Tribolium castaneum: one gene and its partners. The main gene of each other region encodes a partner of the protein of the gene in region 2 in a complex. Links are inferred from orthologs where the notes say so. Each region holds a gene or a part of one and is shown on either strand. Other genes may lie near its edges.

The links. The genes of interacting proteins can lie anywhere in the genome.
Region 1: Polr1C (region 2) and Polr2F share a complex: the UniProt entries of both Homo sapiens proteins name them as parts of the pol I pre-initiation complex. The link is inferred for Tribolium castaneum from reciprocal best matches to the Homo sapiens genes POLR1C and POLR2F.
Region 3: Polr1C (region 2) and Tif-IA share a complex: the UniProt entries of both Homo sapiens proteins name them as parts of the pol I pre-initiation complex. The link is inferred for Tribolium castaneum from reciprocal best matches to the Homo sapiens genes POLR1C and RRN3.

Annotation. Positions count from the first base shown.
Region 1 is NC_087398.1:1,178,502-1,184,565, reverse strand, and holds Polr2F (DNA-directed RNA polymerases I, II, and III subunit RPABC2), read right to left. Parts: upstream 1,269-6,064; coding exon 873-1,268; 3' UTR 827-872; downstream 1-826. Other genes in the region: probable ATP-dependent RNA helicase DDX23, read left to right, coding at 1-501, 597-814; Kua (plasmanylethanolamine desaturase 1), read right to left, coding at 2,692-2,952, 3,121-3,339, 3,383-3,594. UniProt on the Homo sapiens protein: DNA-dependent RNA polymerase catalyzes the transcription of DNA into RNA using the four ribonucleoside triphosphates as substrates.
Region 2 is NC_087396.1:18,338,857-18,347,622, reverse strand, and holds Polr1C (DNA-directed RNA polymerases I and III subunit RPAC1), read right to left. Parts: upstream 5,233-8,766; 5' UTR 5,121-5,232; coding exon 5,058-5,120; intron 5,009-5,057; coding exon 4,708-5,008; intron 4,661-4,707; coding exon 4,541-4,660; intron 4,496-4,540; coding exon 4,082-4,495; intron 4,033-4,081; coding exon 3,923-4,032; 3' UTR 3,842-3,922; downstream 1-3,841. Other genes in the region: proteasome activator complex subunit 4, read left to right, coding at 1-26, 80-331, 380-885, 932-1,496, 1,541-2,267, 2,883-3,319, 3,369-3,578, 3,625-3,759; N-acetylneuraminate lyase A, read left to right, coding at 5,240-5,491, 5,538-5,877, 5,926-6,071, 6,117-6,285, 6,333-6,478, 6,524-6,695, 6,739-6,881; Rab8 (ras-related protein Rab-8A), read right to left, coding at 7,831-7,926. UniProt on the Homo sapiens protein: DNA-dependent RNA polymerase catalyzes the transcription of DNA into RNA using the four ribonucleoside triphosphates as substrates.
Region 3 is NC_087395.1:22,073,016-22,080,816, forward strand, and holds Tif-IA (RNA polymerase I-specific transcription initiation factor RRN3), read left to right. Parts: upstream 1-4,675; 5' UTR 4,676-4,834; intron 4,835-4,882; 5' UTR 4,883-4,888; coding exon 4,889-5,342; intron 5,343-5,394; coding exon 5,395-5,500; intron 5,501-5,612; coding exon 5,613-6,224; intron 6,225-6,272; coding exon 6,273-6,451; intron 6,452-6,495; coding exon 6,496-6,754; intron 6,755-6,803; coding exon 6,804-6,978; 3' UTR 6,979-7,046; downstream 7,047-7,801. Other genes in the region: tyrosine decarboxylase, read left to right, coding at 9-323, 1,965-3,359; ATP-binding cassette sub-family F member 3, read right to left, coding at 7,165-7,317, 7,409-7,629, 7,678-7,801. UniProt on the Homo sapiens protein: Required for efficient transcription initiation by RNA polymerase I (Pol I). Required for the formation of the competent pre-initiation complex (PIC).

The DNA.
Region 1 (6,064 bases), on a different chromosome or scaffold from region 2:
CGGAAGAAGCGGAAGATAGTAAAATAATTTTGGCGAATTACAACAGTAAGAAGAAATATCGGCAAACGGTGATGTTTACGGCAACTATGCCACCGGCGGTTGAGCGACTGGCGAGGACGTATTTGAGACGTCCGGCGGTTGTGTACATTGGTTCGATCGGGAAACCGACGGAACGGGTCGAACAAATTGTGCATATTATGACTGAGAACGATAAGAGGAAGAAGTTGATGGAGTATTTGTCCAAAGGGGTCGATCCACCGATTATTATTTTTGTTAATCAGAAGAAAGGGGCCGATGTTTTGGCCAAAGGGTTGGAGAAGTTGGGCTACAATGCGTGTACGCTCCATGGGGGTAAGGGGCAGGAGCAGAGAGAGTACGCACTGGCTAGTCTCAAGTCGGGGGCTAAGGACATTTTGGTGGCCACTGACGTGGCTGGGAGAGGGATTGATATTAAGGATGTTTCCGTTGTTATTAATTACGACATGGCCAAGACTATTGAAGGTAAGATAAGTTTGTCCCAGATTTTTTTTCTTTATGACTAGTGCAAACTGAAGAAAAAAGGAAATCTAATCTGTAATTTGTTTATTTTTTTTCAGATTACACCCATCGTATTGGCCGAACCGGCCGTGCCGGGAAGAGCGGGGTGGCTATCAGTTTTTGCACCAACGACGACTCGGCCCTATTTTACGATTTGAAGCAAATGTTGCTATCGTCACCTGTCTCAACGTGCCCCCCTGAACTAATGAACCACCCTGAATGCCAGATTCGGCCCAATCAGCCGAAACGCCGCCGCGACGAAATGATTTTCGCTTAATTAAAATAAAACTCGATGTTTACTTAGCCTTTATTCTTAAAAACAAAATCTTATTACACTAGTGGTCAATTATTATGAGTTCGTCTATGCCCCAATCCTCGTACGAGTGGTCGGGTAAATAACGCCGGATTATGATGGGGATTTTCCGTTGTTTGAGTTCTTTCATTGCGATTTGAAGCGGGTCTGTCTCTCCGTCTAGTTCCACCATAACTGGGGCACACATGGCGATTTGCAAAGCTCTTGTTCCCAAAACACGAGCTCTTTCGTATTTGGTCATGTATTTGGTTGTTATGCGTTTGTTTTTGGGCACTCCGCCCCCGGCTTGGCCATGAGCGAGGATGTCGATGTTGTCGCCTTCCTCCTCGGGCTGCTCCAGCTCCTCGATGTTGTCGTCATCGACGTCGTCGTCGAAGTCGTCCCCCACGTCATCACCGTCGAATTCTTCGTCATTCATTCTCGATTTCTAGCTAATTGACTAATTTAAAGGCATACACAAACATAGCACAACGTTCAGATGTCAAATGCGTCAAACGTCAAAAGTATTGGTTATTGGAGAGTTGCACGAAAGTGCATCAGTCCGAAACTTGTTATCGGTTCAAACAATACTTTTACTTTAGTGTATTGTTGGTTGCGTCGCAGTTGCGATAAAAACTTTTTTTGATGAAATTTTGATTGTTACGATTTTTTTAAGTTTAGTTAACAATTTGGTGCGAAAAAAATAAAACACATTAAATTCAAGCAACTTTATTGTATAAAATAATTGCATTTGTTCCAGACTTTATAAAATACCGTCTTGTCTATTATAGTGGCGGTCAGCTCGATTTGCGTGTGCGTCAATTTCATTTTTTCATTACCAACACAAAGCTATAAAAATTGTCAAAAACAATGCAAATTTAAACAGCTAAGGGCTATCTAAGGGTGGTATCCTTGAACATTAATTGACATTGACAGTAAATTATAGACGTCGTCGCATCGTTGTCGAAAGTGTGTGTTATCGGTGTTAATCGTAAGTATTTTCTGTTCGTTTATTGTGTTTTGTGATTTGCGTTTCGTTAGGTTTTTGATTCTGCGTTTATTAGTTCTTGTTTTGTGAATCTGTATTTTTTGTAACAACTTCGTAACCTCAAAAAATATTTGATAGTTTGTCACCGCTATGCCCCTGCTGTGTAAACGTAGTGAGAGAAATGTCAGATGACGCACACGCAAATGGAGCTGAGCGCACCATTGCAGTTTTGTCTAGAAATGGTAAAAATAACTGCGATTTATTGCGATGTTTAAATCACAGTGTTTGTCTAGTTAACAAACCATTTTTTGTGGTAGTTTCTAGCGTACGACTGCTTATTGATTAATTGAATAAAACGCAGACGGAGCTCGTCATAAAGCTCAAATAATTAAATAATTGCAAACAAGTTGAGAATTAAAAACCTTAGCCTAGTCATAAGTCGTACAAATTACCCTACTGGGTGTTAAGCGTGTTTGTAATGATAATGATTCATAAAGTACCTAAATCAGGCACTCTAACTACTTTGGTAGTGCGTGTAGATTATCCCTGGAGTGTTTAAGACTAGCTTCAATAAATCTAAAATTGATCAAATCATTAGGCTAAATTGTAAGAACTATTAAACATTTAAAAAATTGGCCCAAGGCCCATCGCTTGGTCCCCAATGGTTAACATGATTTTGTAACAATAAAAGTACATTACATTCGTTGTCCAATCTTAAAATCAGGCACTTGATTATGTATTTATTGAATCGAACAAAACGTGGTGTTCTCTATCACCAATAAATCGCTAAATCAACTAAATGAACTTTTGGCAATTATTCCACAGACACGTAGAACTAACAAAACAAACCCCATTCATAACAAAGACAAAAATATCACGTGCCCTTTTGCGCCCACTTCATATCATCAGCCCGCGGTTTGTAGCCCGTGGTGTGTTCAATCAGCAGCTCTAGGATGCTCCAAAAGCGCAGCTTCTCCAACGGCCAATTGAGCCACCCGGTGGTGATGCAAAAGTAGGTCTCATGCGGGGCCACATGGTGGATGCGGTGGTGGCGCCTCGGCAGAATCACATGGTGCTCCTGCAGCCACACCACCCACGCCGGCAGCCCGAAGTAGGTGTGCGACCACTTGTGTATCTGGAAAGTGGCTCCAATCAGCAAATGAACTCAGATTTATCGGGCGCGTTACCCCAGGTGTGCGTGTTTGCCACGGGCCCTATCATTTTATAAAGTATTATATCGCGAGCTGATCTAAAAGCGCACACACGACCCGAGGAATTAATTCGAATCAATAATTAACTCTACCTGATTGGTCATTGCCACGAAAATCGCCAACAGAAACACGTAGCAATTCCACGTGAACTTCCTCTCGACCCCGTCCGCAGGCAGCGTCAGAAAATCCCAAACCATCCTCGCCAGAAACGGAATGGTCACCATGAAGTTATCACCGTTGGTTTCGATAAAGTCGTGGCGGGTGATGGACGTCGGATCGATGTGGTGTTCGCGGAACGGCCGCAAAAAATTCTACACAAAATTTAAAATATCAAACATTTCGCTCTCCACTCACTTTGCCCAAGATGGGGAGCTCCACCGAGCCCCACGTGTCGGCCGCCCAGTGCACGAGTCCCGAGCCGAAATCCGCCGTCACAATGCCGCAAAACGCCGCCACCAAAATCGTGCTCAAGTTGTCCATACGGACGTGGAATATTATGAAGAAGAAGTTGACCACCATAAGGGTCAAGCAGATTCCCACGCAGATGCATTCCTGAGTCCGCTTCCCTGCAAAAAGGGAGCGGTGTGACTCGGCTAATTACACTTGGGCCCAGTATTAGTGTAAACTAGGAGGAATATTAAAAATAATCGAGTTTAATGGGTCATCGGAATAATATGAAATGTCATCAATGCATAATAAACGAACTTGTGCTAAGTAATATCGACGACAAGATCGATTCTTCCTAAATAAGCACCTATCAGAATAAAACACACTGTCGATTAGACAAACACATCAATAAAACACGAATTAAAGTGGCATTTTTTACGTTTTAACGCTCACTATAGCGTGAAACTACAATGATTCATTTTCGCGAGATATTATGTCATCGAGAGGTGGTTTCCTTTTTTGTACCTTGACGTAATTTCGTAACGGATTTATTACCACTCGAGTGATAATTTAATTTTGCCAAAAACTTACGAATGATAACACGTTTCTGTTCTAAATCCGAATATTTAAACACATTTCTTGAACATGTTACGACTTATTTTATGTAAATTTAGTTAAAGGTGAAGTAGCTTCGTACGTACAGATTGACACGTATCTGCATGATGCTTTGTGTCGTTGCAAATCTTTTATTGTATTGTAATTACACGTAACCGCAAGCTAAGTTAAGCAAAAAGGTTAATCTAAAGCAAACGTTAGTGATGATAACAAGGCCTCACTTTTCAGCATTAATTCCTCTATGGAGACATAATTTAAATTTTCTCATACAACATGTATGAATGTAAAAAACACGACAACTAACTGTACATAACTATATATAACTATTTTTCGTAAAACTGAAATAATTTAATACAACTGCCAACTTCAGCAAAACCTATTACGGTAATCCACAAGGGAAATCTTATTTAATTATAGATTAGCTGGACACAACCGTCAGCAAAAAACAAGTTTTGTGGTAGAAAATTTCAGAATTTATTCTTTTTTAATCATTTCTTACAAAATTTTGGTTTTTGAAAAAAATTAACACCTGTATTTGTGCAGTGACTAATTTTGTGCTACAGATGTTGCTATTTACGGAAAAAACGGAAAGTTAATTACTTAAAATACGATTATTTTTACACACTTGGCATTTTTCATGGTGATTATAGTCGACTGAAATTATCTAGCAGATTAATCACCCTCTAATGACGTATTAAAACACGCCTTTATTTTGCAAACCTTGGTAGTAAAATTTTATTGTACCACTTGAACATAGAATTGAAAAAACCACCACTTGTTTTAGTTCTAATTCTATTTAAGGAAACAATCCCAAATGATTGTTATCAAGGAATGAGTTTCAGTTCAATTATTTTTCCAAATGCGTTGCGATTAAAGGTAATTTGTTAAATTATAGCGATTCTTTTATTTTATTTTGTTAGGATTCTTTAATGAGAAAAATTCTCCACGAACTTGTTACGTTAATAGGGACTAAAGCCAGGTATTAGGGATAATAATACAACCCGGAAGCGCATCAAAAATAGCCAAATTTTTAAATCGGGGAATAAATCATTTTATTGACAATAATCACGTTTTAGTAATTTTGATGTGGGCTGTTGTTTAAGAAAACGTCAGTGTAATAATTTTGATGACCTGTCGAAAGAATGCTAACATCTGCCAAATATTAGCGAATAAAATGTCACTTAACAATTCCAGAAATAGTTCGTTTTTGCGCAATTTTACGTGCTCTAAATAAATAAACATCACATCACTGCAGTGACAAATTGTGTAAAAACTTTTAAGTTTTTTTCACCGATCGATCCTTTGCAAACGCCATTCTCACTCAATATTAGTTCAATTCCAACGTTATTTGTCTCACAACCAGCACATGTGCAATAACATTCTTTCATTAAAGCGTTAATAGATCTAGGACATGAAAGAATTTGAACTATTTTTTAATCTAAAACAAGCAAAATATCGCCATACCAACCGTATCTAAAACACGTAATTATACCTTAATTACGCCAAATTCTCATTAAAAAACAAAAGACAGACGAAAGATAAACCTAGACAAGCACGTGTATTTAAATAAATTTTTCTCACGCTGTAGATAATTATGCAAGAATAATATGATTGCCTTTTTTACGAAACATCATTGATAAAAGTAGGGACAATAAAGATAAACTCATTGTCCATATTGGCAAAAATTAATATCGGATTTAATTATTTGCAAGACATTTAATTAAAAATTCGTTTAAATAAAAAACAAGTCTGGTGTTAAGCATTTGTTGCACTAAACTTTTCCAAATCAATAGATTGGTTAATGTAGTATTGAAGCGGAACTACTTTCACCAAAAATCATAATAGACGCTCTTTTGCACACCGCTTAAAAATAAAATGAGCCAGTGAAACGAAAAACATGTTTTTCTCCGCAAAACTTGGACACAATCTTAGTGTGTAGTTTGGAAAAGTCAACATTTAGTAATTACTGCATCAATAACACACGAGATAACGCGTCTTAGATAATATTCCGGAATCAAGGTGATGCTAAATATG
Region 2 (8,766 bases):
CTAAAAGCATCCACAACATTGTCCATGTAATTAAATAACGATAGAAGACTCACCCACTCACTCACATTAATTTTTCCAGATCTACAATATACTTCTTTTCAACAAATCACGTGTTCATGATTTCGAGTATCAATGGAAGAACTTCCACTTGGTGAAAAAACTACTCGAAGACCGTTTACACCAAAATAAACTGCACTTGCGACATATCCTTATCAACAGAGTGATGTTGCAGCAAGAATTTAGAATAGAAAGTCGTAGCTGTTCATTCACAGAAACCCACAAACAGATTCTTTTGGACCTGTTTGAACTAAGTGTGTCGCGATATAGCGAGGTACTTCTTTTTTTTTTTTCACCTACCAATGCTAATTACAAATTTCAGGTGAGAATTTCAGCACAGTCGAAGCTATTTTCTGTAGTGTCATACTTCCCATACTCTTACACCGTTCTCACATCGCGTATATTCGAAATCTTAAAACTAAACTCAGAAGAACACCATGAGAAGTTCAAGGGTTGTTTATACATTTTGATAAGTCCGAAAAATACACCAATAGTGGCACGTCACGACTGGAATTTTATTCGCCAATTGTGGCCACTTATCATCAAGTCGATGCCATCCGAAAAACCCTCAATTGTCAATTTGATAAATGCGATAGTCGACGCTGTTAACCGATTTTTCCCGACCATTGCCATTAACTTGGTTTTTCCGCAAAGATGTCTAGACGATGCCACTTTGCTAAGTCAAAATGTGCCCAAATGCGACCTGACCCACTTCCAAAAATATATGGACGAGGGCGAGAAAACGCTACAAATTAAATGCCAAAAGCGCGCAGTTGCGTACAATGAGACAGTTGATGGGCTTTTGGATGCTTGTATTAATGGAAATTTGTAAGTTTTGTCCCAGTTTGTGAATATGATAATAATTCGTTTAAAGGCACTGGAGGTATCACTCAATGGCTGTTACGTTCCTAAAGGTGTTAGTACACTATGACGTTAAATACAACGTGAGGATAGTGAAGTATTTTCTACAAGCCTTAATAAATGAGTCTATAACCATTAGAAAAACGGCATTAAGAGTCTCTCTGTTTATTTTAATTCAGAATAAACCCAAATTTACGAAAATTGAAATTGATCCCTACGGTTTCTCCAACAGTAAAAGAAATAACCACAAGTTGAGGCCCGGAATAAGAGAAGACAATAAATGGTTATTGTACGACAGTAAAACGGTCCCGAAAGATTCAGAAGCGTGGGAAAAACCGCGATTTTTGCACGATCACAGCATAGGGTATTACGCTTGGCCTACGAAAGTCGAAATATACGCACCCCCAAGCGAACAACCCCACATAGACAAAAGGTTCCCAAAACTGAGCGAAGAGGAAAAAGAGATTTACGAGTTTTTCAGCAATGCGGAAAATTTAGACCAATTCATTAAATATTTCTCAATGGAGGAGAAGAAAGGGAAAGACCAGTTCAACGCTTACAAGTTCCTCCTGTTCAAGGTTAGTTGCGTGTATTTGATTTCTGTTTCATAGAACATTTTTAGAACCTGTTCAAACTTTTCGAAGACAAGCTCCTTGACCCCATCATTCCCCACTTGGAGAAGCTCGTGGCTGATAAAAACGAGTCGTCGCAACGTTGCGCTGCTGAGATAATCAGCGGTTTAATCCGCGGTTCGAAGCATTGGAGTTTTGATAAAATCACCAAACTTTGGTCAGTCCTGATCCCGATCCTCGAAACTGCAGTTGTGAATATGTGTAGCGAAACCATGACCGACTGGGGCCTCAGTATGGCGATGGCTTTGGACTCCAGAGACCCCAACCGCTACCATTGGATCTTGGAATACCTGGTCAAAGATCCACTCTCCGACCAAACATCGTTTGTGGCCTGTGGGCGCCTCCACATGCTCCATGCAGCCCTTAACCAACAAACTTGGAGAAATAACGAACTGTCAGTTCGCTTGTTCGACTACTTCAAACAGCACTTGTCGCACCCTTTCCAGAATATCAGGGACAAAATTAGTAGTTGTCTGACGATGATTTTTTCCAAAGATTTGATTTTCCCCGATGATGCTAACGATACGAATTCGGCGGGAATTAAGGCGTTTTTCAAGGAGATAATGCCCACACTTGACAATTTGTACAGTTACACTTTGAGCAAAATCGAAAGTAAGGATAATCCAATGGATACGTCTGAAGTATCAAAAGATATGCAAGGACTGTCGCTCGAAAACGACGAAGTTCGAGAAAATGCCATGAGGTTGTTCAAACTAGGTAAGAATTACGGAGAACTATAACTTAGGAGACGAAATGAGATCACAGAAATCACAGAACTTTCTGAACTCACGGAGTAGTGCAAATTGGTAAACGTTTGAAATTTTTTTAAATATAGTTTACGATAAATTTTTTGCATTATGTTTATATCTTACTATTAAGAATTTAATGCTTTATCTGCCTCTATTTTTTGTGTGGTATTCATTATACAAATCCAAACATTTTTTCAAATTCATTGCTCTACAAACGTAGACGTACAATGGACGTAATGGAACAACTGCGCTCTATAGCGACATTAACGAAACTATCGAGTACGAAAACATTTTATTTATACGTCGTTTCATACCCCTACCTTAAAATATCCGTAGTAAGAATCTAAAAAATATTCTAGAATGAAAACCAAATCTAGCCGGCGCATCCACCAAAAATGATAGCAGTTATGTGACTGTACGATGACTAATCGGCACTGGTTTAATTTTTCTATTTAAGAATATGTTTTTAGGCTTTTAATTGTTATTTGGAAAATCGGAGCCTTGTGTGATTCTGTAATTGTTTCTAATGTTTTGTTTTGTAATGTAATCAGTCAGGATGCAATAATAAAAGGCATGTTTTCAGTTTCAAAATACGTGACATCGAGTGTTGTAAGAATGAACTACTCCACGCTGCCTGAATATTTCGAGATTTTGCCACTGTCGTGTGTGCTTCAAAGCAACGACACCGACGACGAAATCGCCCCAATTTGCTCGAGTTTGCTCGCAGTTTTGGCCTACACCATAACTATTGACAAATACATGCCTTCGGCCCTTGAAGCAATAAGAAAAGTTGCCACTTGTCCGTTCTGGTCGGCTCGTGCGGTTATAACCGAATTCATGTCCGGTTTTGTATTCCACAATATGCCCACGATTATTTCGAAAAAGGAGTGGGTACTAGATATACAACACATGGTGCTAGAACTACTCGAAGATGTTCAACCTGAAGTTAGAGTTAGTGCTAGTCAAGTTTTAAGCGGTCTTTTGCACTGCCAATTTATTCCAAACCCTCAAGAATTATTAGTAATTATTCGGGTTCTTAGTTTATCGTTAAATAATTCGTGAATTCTAGGCGCAATTTAAACAGAAAGCGAAAACTAAATTGAAGAAGAAAAATTTGAACAATTCAAACAGTTTGAATCTTAGTACTTTAAGATTTAGACATGCTGGAGTTTTGGGCTTGTGTGCTTTTATCAATAGCCATCCATACGACGTACCTGACTTTTTACCGGATGTTTTTGGACAATTAGGACCCCATTTGAACGACCCCCAACCCATTCCTGTGAGTCACACTTTCGTCGTTTAAAAAAATAATTAATAATTTTTAGGCAACAATTCGCAAAACCTTGGGAGATTTCAAGCGAACGCATCACGAAAACTGGGAAATCCACAAACTCAAATTTACTGAGGAAGAACTGTTAGTTTTAAGTGATCTCACAGTGCCTCCCAGTTATTACGCCTAGGCAATAATTTTCCGATTCCAGTCAATTTACAATTTAATTTTTTACTAGACAATAGGTGAAGGAAGGTTTAAGGTAGCAAAAATTTACGCGTCAAATGTTTTTTATTTTTAACCTTGTTCATTATATTTTTTGTGGTTTGATAAAAGTATATTAAGTGAAATGTTTATACATGACTTAATTCATCTAATAAAGCAAGACATTTGTCTTTTAATATTTTAACAGCTTCCATGAATATCACATCAGGTGGTAAAGCCCCCACAGATTCGACCGTAACTAAATTACAATTAATAAAAACTGAAAAAGTAAATAAAAAAAAACTTACAAATGAAATGATCCTGAATTTTGGTCATCGCTACTGCGTCCTTGAGGTCTTCATAACGGAAAACATTCCGACTTCCTGTATCATACCTCGCATTAGCTACAACAGCGTATTTGCGGCCTTTTTCATGTCGGATTGAAATCACACCGGGAGAGAAACATTTTTGGAGTCTCTCAGCTGCTTCACCTTCCACTTCTCGTAATAATTTTATGTCGGGAAGAAGGCGATAAAATGCGGTTGCGACAGGAGAAAATTTCGCATGGTCTCGCCCGTTGCTCTTGACTGCTAATAATTTTAAATCTAACTCATGGCCTGGCCTCATTTTGGCAATGAGAATGTCAGGGTGGATGGGGCCCACGTCACTAAACCGCTCCTTCTGTTTACCAATGGGCACCCATTTGATGTGTTTTGAATACACTAAAATTATTGCAATTTTTATTGTTTCTCAAACGGGGTAATTACCATTATTGTTTTTGTACATATCTTCAGCTCGCAGTGAGTCTTTACTGCTGTCTTTATTATTGGTACATTTAATTTTTAACGCAAACTCTAGAGTATCCTGTTCGGTACCTTCAGCAGTTGCTGTAAAAATATTGTAACGTTTGGAACGGCAACATTACAAGACTTACGATCAGTTTTCATTTCAAATAATCGGGGGTCGGCCTTTAGCGGTATCAGGCCTAAACGATGGGCCAAAACTTCGTCTTGGATTATAGACGTGTTATTAAGAATGTGAACCTTTTCAATGGCCATTGTGGGGACATCACTCAACATTAACCTTCTGAAAGTGTTTGCTAGGAACGGGTGAATCCCTATCAAGTCAAATTCGAGTTCATTCTCTTCACTTCGCACAATCACCACCCTAAATCTCTTCTTAAAGGTTTTCAAGTCCCATTTCTCGTCCAAAACAGTTGGTTCCGAGGGCAAATTCTTCAAAGGATGTTTGAAGGAATTTAATACAAAATAATAAAGGACATACCTGCGTCACTTTATATTCTCCTAAAATCACTCGAGGCTTTTCGTCATTCAGAATATTATCCATTTTAAACTTGTTTCAAAAACTTGGATAACCTCAAACAACGCACGTTTTTCGTAAAAATGACTACCAACCTTACCGTCCTTACCACCCAAAAGCCACTTAAAATGTCAGCTTTTTAGGTTATGTTTTGTGAAAAATATAAACAATTTTTGAAAAATATGACGAAACCCGAATGCTCCAAACAGGAAGCTTCAAACACGAAAAGCAAGGCTGAAAAAGACTCACAAATAAGCACACCTGAAACGGCTAAGGCTCTGTTTGCCGATTTTGTGCCAGAAGAGTCAGACAGCGAAGAAGAAAATGAGAAACAAGACGACAAAAAAGACGAAAATCTTGAACCAGCGTCAAAGAAATCACGAGACAGTAACTCGAAGGTAAGTCACCAGTACACCAAATGAAAAACCAACCACCTTCCCGCAGAAATACATACCAAAGTACAAAAAAGAATGGGAGAATAAACCCGAATTGAAAGCATGGTTATCAGAGAGCATACATGGAAATACGTATTTCTACTGCAAATTCTGTAAAAAGGATTACAGATGCGGGATTTCCGACATTCACAAACACATGTCGTCAAAGAAACATGCCCTCAAAGCGGCAATGCCTGCATTCAAGGCACAGAAATTTAAATTTCGGGGGCTTTTGTGCCCCGTCTTTACCCCATTTACTAACTTAAAAAGAGTGACACCTGATGTAAACCTTAAGGCTATACCAAAATACGCAAATTTTTTAAAAGCTTGCAATATTAAAGGAATTTTAAGTATTTCGCAACTCTAGAAAATGAATTAAATTAAATGGTCAATTTTAGTTAATGACATAACCGGGGAAGGAATGTCCTTAACCATTCATGAAAGAATAGATTTGGCGGACGCGTGGGCTGACGCTTGTGAAAAAACAAATCAGTTTTTGATGGCACAAATCGGGGGAGCCCCCCTCAAAGACGTTATAGAAATGGTAGTTTAAACATTTGTTAAAACTGTTAATATTTTTCATTTGTAGGCAAAACACGCCGCTAAGAGGGACATCGGCGCTGTTGTAATCCTCCCCGACCTTTACAACAAACCAAAAAACCACCTAGACCTAATCAAGTACATAAAATTAATATCAGAATTTACAAAAAACGTCCCCATTCTCTATCACCACAATCCCAAGTTTACGCAAGTTGAAAGTAAGCGTTTCGAACGATGAACAAGACACGAAAAAATTCATTTTTAGTTGATATTACGTCGTTTCTGCTGGATATAACGGGAGAAGTGGATTCGTTTGTAGGCGTCATTTATAGCACGAATGATATACAACAGAGCACCGCTGCTATGGCGGTAAATAGGGAAAAGTTTACCGTTTTTATGGGCACCGACGAAGTAGGGGCTTTATGGCCATATCTCCCACTTAATTTCCACTTTTAGGCAATTTTGGGGGCTGCTGCGAGCGGTTTTACGTGTATTATGGGCACAAGTCTGAACTTTTTACCAAAACTGGTTGAATCCATTTGTGTGGCTGTGCGAGAAGGGGAGATAAAAAGCGCCCAAACGTCACAGAATTTACTCAACAGGACGATAGATGTGATTGCGAAACAAGGTAAAAGAATAGTCCGCTTAACGTGGTTTAATATGTTGTTTAGGCGACTACATAGCGGCCTCAAAGGCTGCAACTGACATCATTACTAGCACTTGCGGCACAACCACCAGAGAGCCTTTGCAGACGTTATGGGAAGGCACGACAAAGAAACTCCAATGCAAATTGCGCGAACTTGGTGTTATGTAAGTCATTTTTATATTTTTACACATTCATTTATAAAACAATAAATTACAAGACTCTACTCGCTTTATTATTCATAAAAACGCAATTAAAATGAAACATCCTGGATATTTCCGTCATTTTATTTACTTAGTGTAATCGCTAAACCTAGAGGGCGATAATTCTTAAACAATTTGTGAAATGTAAATATACAAACGTACAAAATCTAGTCTCCTTTAATATCTTTTTTGCAACGAAACTTGATATACAATTTTTTGTAAACGCCCAACAAAGAATTTTTCAATAATACTTTGGACAAGAAAAACGAAAATAATTTATGTACACAAATAAAACGGACTGATTTCCATCGGGTTGTTCGATTTATCTACTATTAAAAAATGAATAAAGACATAACTAGTTTTTAAAAAATATAAATGAATCGCAATCACAACAAAGAATCCTTGAAACAATACCCTTAATGGCCGTTGAAAACAGTAATTGACATATCATTTTTATGAGAAGGTCTGCAACCGCCATCAAGAATACAATCGTCTTTAATTTAATGTGCACACGTATAAATATACCTATAAATTATCTAAAAAAATACAACGGTAAAAAAAATAATTACCCTTAATCACATAAGTATTATCAAGGTCGCTGACATACCATCCGGTGTTTTGTGAGGGAAAACGGGGCCTTCAAACCGAATCATAAATAACAAAGTATATCATTCACTTGTGCATTTCTCAACGAAAAGTTGGTCCCTTTCGCCTGATTTAAAATTGAACGACTTCGATTAAGTCACAAAACACCGAACGACATGTCGTGCCGACTATTTACACAACACACCACAACCTGATGACCTCTGGTACCAAACGAAGCCTACCACCCTTGAGAAACGACAAGAATCGACTCTCCCTTTAAGGCTGTGATGTGAACGATTAGTATATAAGGGCGTTTAAACTCCGCCGATTGGTCAGAGTAGGGTGCATCGAGACAGCCAATTCGTTGGCTTTCGTTGTGGTTCTGTGGCTTTCAGCTGGTGGCCGCCTTTCGGGGGATTGCTCGCCTCCTAGTCACACAACGGACAAAAATAAAACCGAGAAACAAATAAAAGTAAAGATGAACAGTTAAAGGTGTCTCAAATTCAGTTTTAAGGCTCAAATGAATTCGAATGCAAAAGTAGTACTTTAAAAATATTTCCTCGATGTTATTACATCTTGTTACTAATTAAACGGGCGCTCATAAAATCTGTTAAAAGTAAACAAGTAAACTTTATGTTAGTTTAAGGAATAAGGAATTTTGAAGATGGAAGTGGATATAAACATTAATTTTTTTATTCATTTTATTTCACAAAACATTCCAACATTTCTAGATTAAAAGACTCAAAGGGATCATTATCACCAGATATCAAGATAATTACATAACAAAGTACTTTGGAATGGAAGTAATAATAGCTTTAATGCTCATAAATTTAGATAAGTGGTTTTAACTGATAAAAAATCAATTTGAACAACGAAATTTACACGGAATCACTTATTTTTTAGAAAATTTTTGATCATGAACAACGATTTCTATTTTGAAAACGCCTATCAGAACTTTAGTCTAACTTCAGTTAATGTTCTAGATTTTTTACAGTTAATTGTGCATTAAGAGTTAAGAATTAAAAAACAATAACTTTAATATATTAGTTATTGACACGTATCCATAATTTAATACTTCCACATGCATATCGAGTATCTCATTACGAAGGTTAAATTAATGAAGTATTGATGACTTTTTATGAAACAAGTGCAAAAAAAAACAAATACGTAAGCATTTCAAAAAGAATAATTTATTTGCATAATATTCAGATAGTAAAGAAATAATTAAAACATGTTTTTTTTTCTAAGAATGCACAAACATTAATACA
Region 3 (7,801 bases), on a different chromosome or scaffold from region 2:
GTGTGACAATGGACATCGAAGAGTTTCGAACACGCGGCAAGGAAATGGTCGATTACATTTGCCAGTATCTGGAGAATATCGAGTCCCAGAGGGTTCACCCGGACGTGGAAACGGGCTACTTGAGGAAGCTTTTGCCCAGCGAGGCGCCCGAACAGCCCGAAGAATGGGACAATATCATGTACGACGTCGACAAGAACATCATGCCTGGGATAACGCACTGGCAGCATCCCCGATTTCACGCGTACTTTCCCTCAGGAAACTCCTTCCCGTCCATCCTGGGGGACATGCTGTCGGACGCCATCGGCTGCATCGGCTTTTCATGGGTGAGTTTCCGCAAATTACACAAATTAGAGACGAGAATAAAGCAGGGTCGCTGTGATTCATCAAAAGTTAATTATTTTTAGCATGATTTTTAAATAAACACTCGTGATTTTCGCTATCAATACACGGCGCGTTTTCCACTTTGTTTATATTTTTCCACTGGCATAACACGTATCTGCCTACGCACGCTAAGGCTTTTCCGATCTTGGGGGGCTTCATGAAATCCTTCGACAACTTTCACTCATTGACGTCAATTATTTTAATTTGGTCGCATCAATTCGAGCAATTGACACGATACCTGTCTAAAATTAAATTACTCTCGGGAATTGAGATGGACGAAAATAAAACTTGAATTTCGCTCATTATTATCGCCTTCAGATTGAATTAAAATGACACAGCCTCACGCTAACATCAGTCTAATTGCCATGATTGAAAAATTCAATTCCGGCAATGTTGCAAAACACGACGAAAAATTACATCATGAGATGGCTGAATGACTTTTTGTTTGTTCTTTTATTGTTTACTTTGTTGGAAAAAACAGCCAATCAGAAGTTGCACTTCATACCACGTGCAATTATAAACAAACACTGGCAAAATTAAACTAAAATTTTGCTTGTAAATCAAACATGGGATAGCAAATATTATTGACTACCAAGAAGTGTGTTTTTTATTATACCTCTATTGTAAAAAACTAGAATCTTCAGTCTTGAATTTAATTAATTTTAATGAAAGTTTATACATCACTTTAGTTCAACAATTACTAAACATCACCAAATAAAACCGGAGACAACGAGGAAGTAAATGAGTAAAAGTTACGTCCTTTTTTTAAAAATGTTTCAAAAAGTAGAGCTGATAGAAAAAATCTGCTTGCAGTTTTGAAATCTGCGTCCAAAAATTTCTTAACAACAAAAAAATCTGAGGCCACAGATATACTATAAACTAATGTAATAGTTATTTATTACACAAGGCGTATCTTCGGCAGCGGCCTACGCCTCCAGGTTGAAACGCTTGGGAAGATAATGGTGCATTTTATCGTCGGTGTACTATACAATTCTCCATATGTCGATTGAATTTTTTTTTATTTATTTTGATTGACAATTATATGAACCATATTTCTCTAGACGATAAAATTTCTCTTATTTTAAAACCATTTGATTTTTAGTAAATACTCACTTTTCATTATTTAGATTAGTGCCGGATTTTGCAGAATAAAAAAAAATTATTATAAATAAAATAATTTTCTCATTTCAAAGATTTATTCTCGTTACAGAAAATCACAAAACAAGTTCTCACTATGTTTTTTTGCAATAGTTTCCTTTACGCTTCTAGTTTGAACAAAAAATAGCTCTACTTATGCAAAAATAAGAAAAATAAGTTATTTTGTCTTATTTCGTTCAGTCTGCTTTTTTACAGAATTGGTGAGTATGTTCTATAGTTAAAATTAAAAAAAAATGTAGAAAAATCTGCGATCTTATTGTAACTGTGTCTTTATGCATTTCTTTGAAGTATCATTTATTTGTACATTAAAACATTTATGGCAATTTTAATATTTTCCGTTGAGATCTTTACTGTTGCTTTATTATTGTTTTATTGCCGTTTATTTGACATTTCCTTTGGTAAACGACTATTTCGCTTTATTCCAGGCCGCTAGTCCCGCCTGCACGGAGCTGGAGACCATCGTCATGGACTGGTTCGGCAAAGCCATCGGCCTCCCCTCCGACTTCATCACCTCCTCGGAGGGCAGCACCGGCGGCGGCGTCATCCAGACCTCCGCCAGCGAGTGCGTCCTAGTCTCCATGCTGGCAGCCCGCAACCAGGCCATCAAATACCTCAAAACGGAAAACCCCCAAATGGAGGACAGCGCCTTCCTCCCGAAACTAGTCGGCTATTGCTCCAAAGAGGCCCACTCCTGCGTGGAAAAAGCTGCGAAAATCCTCCTAGTCAAGCTGCGAATCCTGGATCCTGACGAAAACGGGAGCTTACGGGGCGATAAACTCCGGGAGGAGATGGAGAAGGACAAGGAGAAGGGTTTGTTCCCGTTTTTCGTTTCGGCGATTTTGGGCTCGACTGCCTCCTGCTCCTTCGACAATCTGGAGGAGATCGGGCCGGTTTGCAAGGAACAGAAGCGGTGTTGGTTGCACGTGGACGCGGCCTACGCCGGAAACGGGTTTATTTGTCCCGAATTGAAGTATTTACTCAATGGGATCGACTACGCTGATAGTTTTAACACGAATCCGAACAAGTGGCTTTTGGTTAATTTCGACTGTTCCTGCTTGTGGGTCAGGGACCGGATTCGACTAACGCACGCCCTCGTGGTGGACCCCCTGTACCTGCAGCACGCCAACGCTGACGAGTCCATCGACTACAGGCACTGGGGGATTCCCCTAAGCCGGCGGTTCCGCTCCTTGAAACTGTGGTTCGTCATCCGGAAGTACGGCTTAAGCGGCCTCCGGGCCTACATCCGGAACCACATCAAACTGGCCAAACACTTCGAACAGTTGGTCCTGCAGGACACCCGGTTCGAGGTCGTGAATGACGTGAGGCTGGGCCTTGTGTGTTTCCGGTTGATGGCGTGCGATGCCGCCAACCAGAAGCTGCTAGCGATGATCAACGCCTCTGGGAAGATTCACATGACACCGTCGGTGGTCCGGAACAAGTACATTATCCGGTTCTGTGTGGACGCGGAGCATGCCAAAGAGGAGGACGTTGATTATGCGTGGGAGGTGATCAAGGAGTTCGCTGTTGAAACGCTGGCGACGGGGGCCAAGGAGCGGCCGCCGCTCACGAGACAGAAGTCGAAGCGGTTCTCGTTCACCAGGAGCATTTCGAAGGAGATGTACCAGAGGACTTTGAGTCGGTCGAATTTGTGCGACGGGGCGACGCCCATTCTTGTGGCGGATTCGGATGAGGAGGACACGCTGGTTGAGGACACGACGATGCTGCCAGATGAGCCCGATGAGGTTTTTATTGACAAACAAGAGTTTGTTAATGGGTTTAGGATAAATGACAAAGAGATTAAGTACAATGGGGTTAGTTAAGAGTGTGATTGGGTGTGTAGATGTGTAGACACAACAGTATTATTTTAAGTAATAATCTTAAGTTATTTGTTCATTCACATATCATTAGACGTAAGGACGGTTGTGTACCAAGTGATCATTTGAATTCATTACAATTAGAGTACCTACTGAAACTGATATTGAAAGAATGGTTAAGACTTGAGTCTACCAACTATTCGGAGGAAACTCTCCTACTCTAATTACAAATGACGACATATAATACTCGCTCATTAGTATTAAGTAGCGTCCTTGTTGTTGTTAAAGAGTTTTTTTACTCATTTATAAAATGTAGACGTAATAAATTATGATATTAATTTGAAACTACCATTCAATTATTTTTCCTTTATAAATTCGTTCTTCAGAGTCTTTTTGACAATATTGGTTACACACAGCGCGTGCTGTTAACATTTAAACAGCACTTTTTTAAACAGGAAAGTACTAACCATCAAGGTTTTTTACATTGTTCCATAACTGCTGGAAAAGAGAAATCAGAGGTGATTATTTCTGTTGTTTTTTTCCCTTTCCCAAAGATCATCTGAGGCAAGTGCCCTCGATCCGGCTCTGCCCCTATATCATGTAAAGAATCTTATTCAAAAAAAAATTAATACCTGCTTAAGTATGCTGAGTTAAAAATAATCGAATTCTTTTAGTTTTCGAGAGTAAGTTTGTTCTTACAAAGTGGATTTGTTTTAATTGTGAATCCTGTGAAGATTTCACTAAAATGTTTGGCTGAAATTATTTGCTTAAGAGATGAACTTCTGTGGTTGTCGGGTTGGACCTTAAAAATGTGCCTCCTTGTGTTTTTCAGATCAAAAAAAACGTTAAATGACAAAAATCAATACATTAGACAAACCTCCTTGTTCCCATCTTGTAACAATAAGTTACCTCACAGATTATATTTTTTGTTGGTGTCGTACTTGTTGCCGTGTCGTTTAATTTTACTCACTTTATGACTTACTGTTTTGTGAAAGAATTTTTGCGGATTAAAAGTTCCAAATTCGTTGACTAGTGCGTGCTGATCGCGGTTAGTGTGTGCTATTGAAAGGGATTTTTAAGGGGAAAAGAGAAAACAACCCGGATTAAAGGGTTAGTTTTCAATAATTTATTTTTAGAAAAGTTTCTACATTAAAATCTATAATATTTTCAACGAATTTACTGGTACAATGTTCCAATTTCACTGTTTTTTATTTCAGTAGGTTCGTGAAATGCTTTTGAATAGGTGATATTAACATCTTGTACTGATTTTACTTTTAATTTATTTTAATAAATTAGCCCGGCTCAAAATTTAAATAGTAGCCTTGCCAACCAAGCAACTTCGAAAAGCCACAACAAATAACCCTAGACGCAGACGTCAAACCACACGTTTTTCTCCTAACCTGTAAAAGATGTGATTTAAATAACATTGTGAAATACTGTTTTTATTGATTGACTGTGACTGAACCGTTGCTTTAATTTATGTAAGTGCCATATTTATCATTTTTTCAGAAAAAACAAACAAATTTCAGATCATTATGTCTTTATTCTCGGCCCCCACGAAGTCAACGACCCCTTCCTCGATCCTGAAGAAAACCCCAAGTCTCAAATCGACATTAAACCGCTCCTTGAAAGTGAACACACCCACTAAAGTCCGATTTATTTTACCACACTCTAAAAAAGTGCGCCACATATTGAAGGACTACATCAAACACGGAAATGCAAAGGATTATGAAAATTTAGTGTGCCTAATTCGCGATGCCGAACTGTTTGATGACGATATTTCCTCACTGTTGAAGGAAGCGACTGAGTGTATTTCAATAATGAAGCAGGAGTTACGTCTTTTTGTAGAAGCACTCCTTTCAGTTGACTGGATCGAAAGAAACGAAAATGTAGTTAAGGAGTATCAGTCATTTATTGCGAACTTAGTCGCTGCACATAACTATCACGCAGATTTTGTGATAAATAAATTAGTCACATTGTTTTTTCCCCGTAAGTTTGGTAAAGTAACTAATCACCAGTTAATTACCAGTGAATTATTTAGCTCTAACAGACCCTGAATGGGAAAATGGAACCCCCAGTAAAACGGATATTCTGAAGTGCCAACACGTCCACTCCCTCCTCTGTGAACTTCTAAGAACAGTCCCTTTGTAAGTAATTTTTCAAGTCTCAGGTACTTTCCGGATGTAATTATCTAGAGTAATAAGCAATTTTCTCTATAAAATAGTTTATAAATTAAATCTGTGCTAATGGGCATTTCAGGTGCAACGAATTGCTAATCCACGCCCTGATCGACCACTTCCCTTACATGAACAAATCGACCCACATCCACGAATACTACATCCAGAACCTCCTCTGGGTCATCTGCTACCAGCCCACTCTCAGACCCAACATCCTCCACTTAATTTTCTCAAAACTGATCATCATGGACGTGAGTGCGCCCCGCGAGGAAATCGCGAAACTTGAAGAGGAGGAAATTTTCATGATGGACGAGAGCAAAACAAACACTACGATAAATCTGGACTGCGTCCATTCAATGGCACACACTTTGGACGTTTGCCTGGATAAAGTGTTCAATTACATTTACTCCGAGTGCCATGAGCCGGGCACTAATGACTTGAATTGGGGCAAAACCAAGTCTTTATACCAGGATATTTTGACGGTCTTTGATCAGTCGATCCTGCCAACTTACAATACTCATCACGTCCAGTTTGTTATGTTTGTGCTGTGTTCCTTTAAAACGACGTTAACGGAGGCGTTTTTTAATTACTTGTGGAAGAAGGTGTGCAATCCGAACGTCGCGTCGGTGATTAGACAAGCGGCGGTTAATTATATTGTCAGTTTTATAGCGAGAGCCACTTTCGTCCCCCTTACGTAAGATTTTTTCAATTTTTTATGCCCCAGTTTAATGGAAAATTGCAGCATGTTGAAGGGGACTTTGCAACAAATGGCCGAATGGATCCACTCGTATATCGCCACTCAGGACGGCCTAGAGTGCGTCAATTCGGACCTAAGGCTCCACTCTGTCTTCTACACAGTGTGTCAAGCCCTCTTTTATGTGATTTCGTTCCGGCACAAGGATTTAGTCAACACAAAAAAAAGTAATGATTTTTTTACTCGAACATTGTCACAACTTTGATTACAGATGTCGTATTTTTGGAGAGTCTGAACTTGGCGAAAATCGTAACCAGTCGGTTAAACCCGTTGCGGGTTTGCCAACCTGCAGTCGTGCAAAATTTCGCTGCTATTACCCGAAAGTACCAACTAGCCTATTGTTACTCAATCATTGAACACAATTCGAGGAACACTTTACCGACTGTTTATAGAGACGAGAAAGGTTTTGTGACAGTTTCAAGTAACGTCCTAGAGGCGTGTTACCCGTTTGATCCTTTTGTTTTATCAAGGTTCGTTGCACCGTTTTTTGGGGGATTCCCCTGACTGTTTTAATTGCAGGTCGAGTGCGAAAGTGCACCCGTTTTATCGGGACTACAAGGAGGTGAGTTTTGAGGTAAACGATTCAGAAATGAGGGAAATTGGGGACGTTGACGATTTCCTCGAGAATGACTTTAACTCAAAAACGCAGAAATTCTCATACGGGACTTCGCCAGGGTTTAAATTTAAGGGCTAATGTGATACTGATTTATGCAAGATGTTATTTATTAATTTGATAGGAAAATAAAGTTTCTCAAAATATGACCTATATTTTAATACCGTTATAAACATGAATATATTATAAATATAACAAAAAATCATAAATAGTTTTTCCACAAAGGAGGCACATTTATACAAATTTCTCTATTAAAAAGTAAACTCGTTATTTAGACTGACTTTCGAGTTCCTGTTCGACAAGTCGTCTGTACTCATCAAAACCTTCTATACTTCGCACAGAGCCATTACCACAAACCCACAACTCCTTGCACACTTTGCGAATAAGCCGCTCGTCGTGCGACACAAGTATCACACCGCCCTAGAAAAAATTAAGCACAAGGGAGGTAAAAAAATAAAAAAGTGTATGGTGGTAATGTGATCACCCAAAAGTGGTAAAAGCGTTAACTTACGGTGAATTTGACTATCGCATTCCCTAAAGCTTCAATTGTTTCGATATCTAAATGATTGGTGGGTTCGTCAAGTACGAGGAAATTTGGGTTACCCATGCACATTCGGGCAAAAGCGACTCGAGATTTTTGCCCCCCTGATAAACTGGCGACGGTTTGGAGGGCGAGGTCGCCCGAGACGCCAAAACTCCCAAGCTGGCGTCTATATTCCTCGATTGGTTTTCCTAAATTGTGGGATTATTAAATTGTTGAGTTAGAAATTGGGGAAGTACCGGGATATGTGCTTTGGAGGAGCTCGACCGAGTTGACGTTCATGTCGAGTTGGTCCACGTGGTGCTGGCTGAAGTAGCCGAATTTTAGGTTTCGATGGACGTGGAGCATGCCCGCAGATGGGGA